Linked DNA regions of Macaca mulatta. The protein of the gene in region 2 purifies or fractionates together with the protein of the main gene of each other region. This does not show direct contact. Links are inferred from orthologs where the notes say so. Each region holds a gene or a part of one and is shown on either strand. Other genes may lie near its edges.

Evidence for each region. Proteins that work in one complex are often made in the same cells at the same time.
Region 1: the proteins of HSP90B1 (region 2) and CALR fractionate together in Homo sapiens (co-fractionation; 4 studies listed by BioGRID, with this or other methods). This does not show direct contact. The link is inferred for Macaca mulatta from reciprocal best matches to the Homo sapiens genes HSP90B1 and CALR.

Annotation. Positions count from the first base shown.
Region 1 is NC_133424.1:13,503,621-13,507,367, reverse strand, and holds the start of CALR (calreticulin precursor), read right to left. Parts: upstream 2,526-3,747; 5' UTR 2,495-2,525; coding exon 2,404-2,494; intron 2,042-2,403; coding exon 1,940-2,041; intron 1,748-1,939; coding exon 1,544-1,747; intron 1,122-1,543; coding exon 1,027-1,121; intron 935-1,026; coding exon 725-934; intron 638-724; coding exon 524-637; intron 435-523; coding exon 291-434; exon of another isoform or gene 258-290; intron 1-257. UniProt on the Homo sapiens protein: Calcium-binding chaperone that promotes folding, oligomeric assembly and quality control in the endoplasmic reticulum (ER) via the calreticulin/calnexin cycle.
Region 2 is NC_133416.1:111,149,158-111,152,904, reverse strand, and holds the start of HSP90B1 (endoplasmin precursor), read right to left. Parts: upstream 2,600-3,747; coding exon 2,551-2,599; coding exon of another isoform or gene 2,382-2,550; intron 2,208-2,381; coding exon of another isoform or gene 2,198-2,207; exon of another isoform or gene 1,961-2,197; intron 1,591-1,960; coding exon 1,488-1,590; intron 840-1,487; coding exon 698-839; intron 163-697; coding exon 46-162; intron 1-45. Other genes in the region: uncharacterized protein LOC144333002, read left to right, coding at 2,198-2,207, 2,382-3,004.

The DNA of each region.
Region 1 (3,747 bases), on a different chromosome or scaffold from region 2:
GCCCCAGCTAACTAAGTGGGTTACCTGACCACCTTCTAGTTCTTTCAGGGTATTTAAAGAAGTTGATTTGCATAAAAGTACTTGGGGAAGTACTTAGTTCACAAGAAGTACAGCCTCAAAAGCATTGCTGTGAGGACTCCACAGGGACAGACCAGGAAGTACTGTTTACAAAAAGTACCATTTTTGAGTCAGACCCGCCTGGGGTGCGATCGTATCCTGTCACTTTCCCCTTGGGTAATCTTATGCACTTGAGGTACCCCAGGGATCCTCCTTTTTCCTCCAAGTCTCACCTGCCAGAGGTCCAGGCCCAGCACACCAAAGTTATCATAGGCATAGATACTGGGATCAGGAGAGTACTCAGGATTGTCAATTTCTGGGTGGATCCAAGTGCCCTTGTAATCTGGGTTGTCGATCTGCCGGGGCTTCCACTCACCCTGCAGAAGGAAGAAGGGAACTAGAGGGTGAGTAAGGTTGGTGCACTCCCCACTGTGAGCCCCAGCCCTGCTCAGAGCCCCAAACTCACCTTGTACTCAGGGTTCTGAATCACTGGGGGTTCCCACTCTCCATCCATCTCTTCATCCCAGTCCTCGGGTTTCTTAGCATCGGGGTCAGGGATATGCTCGGGCTTGTCCCAGTCCTGGGGGGTAGATGAAGAGGTCAGAGTTGGCCCAAATGTCCTCACACCCTCCAATGTGGAGAGCAGAGCCCCCACCCAAACACCAACCTCAGGCTTGGAGTCTGTGGGATCATCGATCTTGGCCCGCTCATCCCAGTCTTCAGGTTTTGAAGCATCAGGATCCTTTATCTTCTTGGGTGGCAGGAAGTCCCAATCGTCTTCCAAGGAGCCCGACTCCACCTGGCTGTTGTCAATCTTCACCTCATAAGTGTTGTCTGGCCGCACAATCAGTGTGTACAGGTGTGTAAACTCATCATCCTGAAGAAGGAAGAAGGTGAGCAGCCCCCCCTCAATCAGGCTGACCTCTGAACCTCCCCATGACACCCATTTGCCACCACCCCCAGGCACACCTTGCAACGGATGTCCTTGTTGATCAGCACGTTTTTGCCCTTGTAGTTGAAGATGACGTGAACCTTCTTGGTGCCGGGGCCACAGATATCAGGACCTAGGTGTGAAGCAGATCCAGTTAAAAGTCAGAGACTACCCACCATTTCGAGTTCCTCACCCCTCTTTACAAAAGGAAGACCTGGTTCCTAAACTCGGGTCTGTCAAGGCTGAAAAGAGAAACTCAGACCCTGATTCTGTGCTGAATGGGTTGTGGGTGAAGCCTTAAGTTTAAATTAAAAAAAAAAAATCAGTGCTCTAGAACTCAACATCCTCATTTGTAAGATTGGGAAATAACTATATACAATGACACAAATTAATTAACAGCCTAGATCTGCGATCATAACGCAATAAATTGTTGCTGTGACTTAATTCTTTTAGCGCCCCTTCCAAAGACAATCATAACTATTAAGAAAGTCAATGGGGTCTGGGTCTCCCTCCAACTAATGGGACAGAGGTCAGCACCAGGAAGCAGCCCCTCACCAAACATGATGTTGTATTCTGAGTCTCCGTGCATGTCCGTCTGGTCCAAACTATTAGGAAACAGCTTCACATAACCGCCCCCACAGTCGATGTTCTGCTCATGTTTCACCGTGAACTGCACCACCAGCGTCTGGCCTTTGTTGCTGAAAGGCTCGAAACTGGCCGACAGAGCATAAAAGCGTGCATCCTGGCTTGTCTGCAAACCTGAGACGGGACGGTAGTGTGGTCACCGTTGGGTCCTGACCCGCGAGGACCCTCGATTTAGACGATACAGACGACTCCCCCACTTCCTCCACCTGCCCTGCTCCTAGGGGACTGTCCCGGCTGTGTGTGTGCGGACAAGGACTTCTGCCAGGAAGTCCTCGCGGATCTGAGCACCCACTCCTAAGCTCTTACCTTTATCTTTCTCCTCGTCACCGTAGAACTTGCCGGAACTGAGGACGAATTTGCCAAAATCTGACTTGTGTTTGGATTCGATCCAGCGGGAAGTCCACCCGTCTAAGTGGAGGGTTAGAGAGTTAGGTCAGCGCGGCTCTGCTAATCCCCCCCCCCACCAAGCATCTGCGGAGAACCACAAGCTGCTGGGGACAGGGAAGGAGATCCCCGACTCTCCCCACCCCAACCTCTAGTTGACACGTCGGGTGCCTTCAGCGATCCTCGGGCGAACCCTAACTCCCACCGCGGGAGGCCGCTACGCCTTCCGCGCTCCCCAGAGACGCAAAAGAGGGATCGCCCGCAGCTCCAGTCGCCGGGGACCACTGTGTTGGCCCTCTAAGCGGTAATTACGGGCGACGACGCAGATCCGGGATGGGGGGCCGGCCGCGTCGTCGGGACGGCCTCGAGGTGGGACCAGGCGTTACCTCCGTCCAGAAACTGCTCCTTGAAGTAGACGGCGGGCTCGGCGGCGGCCAAGCCGAGGAGGCCGAGCAGCAGCGGCACGGATAGCAGCATGGCGGGCCGAGGGGGCGGCGGCGCGCGGGCCCTTTAAGACGACCCTCCGGCGGCGGCTCTGCAGTACGGACGGACGCCGCCGCCCGCCTTGCATTTTTATACCCACCCGCCTCTCAAACCAACCTGACCCAGCCCTTGGGCCCGCCCCTGACACTTTATCATTGGCCTGCGCCCACGGCCGTCTCTTTCCATTGGACCTTCGTCGGTTCACTAGGTTAGGCTGCGCCTCGGAACGCTGGGTTCCCAGATGGCCGATTTCTATTGGCCTCACCACTGACCAATGATGGTCGACCACGCGTTGTGGGGGACGCCCACTGGTGAGGTGGGGGCCGCGAGCCCCTCAGGCCAGGTCATGTGACCAGACCTGAACCTAAGACCGCCCTTGCCCGTGCGCGTCGTTCCCCATCTGGGCGTTTAAAGAACCCGCGGGAGCGCAGGTGTTTCCACGCGGGATCGGGACCCCGCCTCAGCTTCTCTTCCTCCCGTTCCCTCTAGGTGGAGGGGCTGGGCAAGGCTTTCCTAGCCAGTTCTTATCTTGCATTTGGGAACCAGCACCCCACTGCTGCTCCCCTACCCCCGCCCAGGATAGGAGAGAGCTCATGGGTTGGGGCCCTGGGGCTACGCTGCACCCCGGTGCTACAGCCACGCGGGCCAGTGGGAAGAATGCCAGCCCTCTCCTCATTCTGCCCCTAGGGCCCTGGCAGCCTATCAGACTGCTGCTGTGTGACTGGGGCAAGTCACTTAACCTCTCTGAAGTGACAGACGTTCCTGAGCAGACAGAGGGGGTGACCCTGGCCAGGTGCTACCCAGCAGAAATGCTGTTAACGTTTTTAAAGCTGGCCTGGGACAAGAGGGGAGGAAGACTTAACGATGTGACTGTGACTCCTGGGGTGGGGATAGGGTTATTACCCAGATTGCAGCAGCCCCTTTACTCTCGTCTCAACCGGTAAATGAAGGAGGTCGCTGTCTGTGGTCTCCCACAAACGGCCTGGCTTTTGCAATTAAACGGCTATAGGCGAGAGGGCAGGGGGTTCCGTTTGGGGAGGGAAAAAAGACACAGATGGTAGCGAAGATAAGGTGCTAGGGAGATGGGCAGGACCCCCCCACCCCACCCCAGTCTGGAGTCTTCTGAAGCCAGAGGCACGTGACTGGCACCAGTACCCTGCCCCCAAGCTGTAGAAAGGAGATCTGGGGGTTTTCCAAACTCTGGGCAAATAAGCCCTGGACCTGGGAACACGGGAGTGGACTGTGGA
Region 2 (3,747 bases):
GGATTCCTTTTCCTTTAAAAGAAAGAAAAACTGCCTTACACTTACCTTAATTTTAACTGTTAGTTCCTCATTTCCAGAAAGAGCATTTTCATCAGTCAGTGATATTAGCCGTATCTTATCTAAAGCGTCGGAAGCATTTGAAATCAGTTCTCTCAGGAAAATCTAAATGGAAGCCAGAGGTAATACACTTAAGACTATCCTCAAGATACATTAAGATATTCATTTTATGCCAAACCCATTTTATTTCTTCTCTGTACCTTATAAAAGCACTCTTTAAGGAATTAAGACTTCTTATGGTATAGGAGTGGCTTTATTCTTTTGATTAAAAAAAGGCATAGCTCCTTACACAAAGAACTGTGGCAACTATAAGGGATACATTAGCTGGTAAGGGTAGTAACACTACCCATCTGACAGTGATCTTGAGGTATACAATGCAAGAAGTTTAATTTACGAGACTGCCCTTAGAATCACAACTATTATCAGGCCATGAACCTATTTAGAGGTAAAGGAAAAAGAAAATGTCTGATGCTCCCTTTCTTCCCAGATATCTAGTAACAATTCTTGGACATATTAAGTATTTAAAGGTTGTTAGCTACTTACTCGGTTAGTACATTACTTTTGCAGTAAATCAAGCAAATTTAAGTAAACAAGTATGCCACCATATAGAGACAAAATATTCTAACCACATGTTGCTTACCTCTTTATTTTTATACAATGAATTGATGATAAGTTTCATCATTCTGTTAACTTCAGCTTGAAAGGCAAACTTTTCCGACTTCTCTCTAAGTTCTCTTATTTGCGATGCATTTAATCCATCCAACTGAATAGCTTCTTCCTCTCTAAGGAAATCAGTTAGATAAGCAAATATTGCATGGCTTAGTTCCCTTCAAAACTAGAGGAATTATGATGCGAGCACAGTGGCCTCTAAATATTGTCTTGGGGGTTAAAATGGAAACCCTTATAAAGTATTACTGATATACCATCTCATTATGTTAGCACAGCAGTAGGCTACCTTTAACATTGCACTGGAAATACCTGGTTCTTAAAATTGCCAGAAAAAAAACCCCCAAGTCTCCTCTACTAAAAAGCAAAGTCATACTCATTTATGCTCCACGGTGAGGACTTCAAAACTGTCAATAAATCCCAAGAGGCCAAATTTTAAAATATTGTTCAACTGACAGAAATCCCATTTTTAAACTACTCGGCGTACACAGTTAATGAATACAAATCCAACTGAAACTCTTTTCTAAAGTCTTACAAAGTTCGTGGTGCTAGTATTCTGCAATATAGTTTTCAAAGGAATTCACTCAGTTTTAATCACTCCCAGGGACAAGTTAGGAGGTATGTATGCACACAACTCACCAGGTATTTAAATACAGGGTGTTAGACTTTATCTGGACCTTTGGAGAAGAGATACATAAGAAGTGACCCTAACTCACAAGGTTCACAGGGCTTATCTGTATAGGTAAGTTCAAATGAACACAAACCTCTGTACTACTTCATCATCCGTCCTTGAGCCTTCTCTACTTTTACCCAGATCCTCTTCTACTGTACCATCCACATCAACTTCGTCGTCAGCTCTGACCGACCCTGAAGATTTAACACGGGAAAACTCTTCAACATCGCACTTCTCCAAGGAGGATGATCAAATAGGGAAGGGTAGGGGTTGCAAAATTCAGCTGGTAAATAAGGGTGGAGGGGATGAAAGAGTGTATTCCCTGGTTTAAATACCCAAGGTAAAGCCAAGACAGCACATCTATTTAAGTTCTGATGTTGAGGTCCCCAGTAGATTCTGAAATACTGAGGTAGTCACCACTTCTAAACAGTGTGTCTCCGATCATTTATAAATAACGTTAAGCAGACTGACACCAGGTCTCTTCTACAACCACACGTGTTGCGCGCAGGCCGAGCCAAGGCCTCCCAACTGACCAAACCAAAACTTCGGCCTTCGTTATCACAGGTCAGAATGCAAATAGGATTTATGCAATCTCTGGCGAGAGGAACTGAAATTGAGCCCAGAGGCATGAGAAGGGGGCGAAATGTTAAGAACCGAGCTCCAGCAAAACCGAATCAAACACGCTGACACTGCCATTCCGCTGGCCCCAGGCCTCACGCTCCCAAGCCAGCATCTTCTTAAGAAAGGACACGCGCTTGCGAGGAGTCGGAGTCTGGGGAATTACCGGACGGGAAAGCTGGGATGGCCGAAGGTAGCGGTGGCCGAAAAAGTCCTCCGGGCGGGGAGGGGGGAGGGACTCCTCACAACTCCCGGGGGAGCCAGAGCCCCAGAGAGGCCCCACCCCGAGGTCGCTGAGACCTCCGGGCGAGATATTATTAGATCTGTAGGGGAGTTAGATGATTCTGCTCTCTTTTATTATTTCCAGAGGAAGAAGAGAATAAACGTAATCCCCTGGCCCTCTTTCGAGGAAAGGTGACGTCCCTTGGCCCACCGCAGGCCTCGGGATCCCCCCTCCCAGGTTCAACGCCCCCAGAACCTTCGAGAAGCGGCCGCGTGTGTAGAGGGGGGACGTCTGCTCCTCTAGGATCACTCACCGAAGGTCAGCAGGACGCAGCAGAGGCCCAGCACCCACAGGGCCCTCATGGCGTGCGGCCGGTGAGTCTCAAGTCCCTCTCGATCGCAGGAGCCGCCTCCACCCCCACCCCTAAGCTCGGATCCTCACACCTCCAGCCGCGCGGTCCGCCCACTACACCCCAAGCAGGTCGGGCCGCTTTTCACCCCCACTTCTCGAGGGCGGGGGACGGGAAACATGAACCCACCAATCGCGCCGCACCACGCACCCACGGCACCCAATGGGGATTCGTGGGGGGGACGGAAGTCCACCAATCGGAGCTGTCCAGGTGCGGTGACCGATGCCCGAAGCGTGGCTCCTTCCGATTGGTCAGGGTTTGCAGCTTTTCTCCAATCAAATGGCTCCGCGGGCCCCTCACACGTGGGACCGCCCCTTTGCCTGGGCGGCTGTGGCCTCTAAGGGCAACCGTCCAATGAATGTAAGCACAGAACACATCCATCTTTTTCGAGAGGTCGCGGCGGAACTACTTCCGGATCCTAGAGAGCGTTTATTCTGTGACCAGTGGAAACGGTAGCCATGGCAACGTGTTCTTCACCCTTTCCCATCTATATCTGGGGTTACGTTGGGAGTGATTCCAGCACGACTTTCGCGGCCAGAGTTCTCGTGTGGCGGCGCTTCTCGGAAAGGAGAAACACACGAGAGTGGTTGAAAATCCCCTAGAACCCTTCCAGATGGAGGTGGTGAGAAACTACAGCTCCCGACATGCAATGTCCTATGGGGTACACTGCATTGAATGCTGGGAATCGTAGTCTTTGGTCTCTGAGGACCAGCTGCGTAGTTTGGCCCTTACTTTCACGTTCCCCCAGCGTGTGTTTGCCGGAGCCCTGTCCTGCGTCTTAGATGTTACATCTCGTTCTGATTACAGTAGAGATATGTGCCTATTCCAGGAGTCTCCATTGTACACAGCTTTTAGAAGCGGGCCTAGAAAGCCTTGACGCCTCGGGCAAGGCCGCCTTGTTCTGGGGGGTCGGTCTGAGTCTGGGGGCTCCGCCTCCGGCTCGAGAGCACGCGTTTCCGAATCCGCCTACAAGTGTGTCACTTGGGCAGCCCGGGCCTTCACCTCGTCTGTGCGCAGCCGGAATCCCCAGGCCTTCCTGATCTGGTTTACAGAAGATGGTTGGGACCTCCCCGACCTGACGGTCTTAGAACCCCTTCTGTG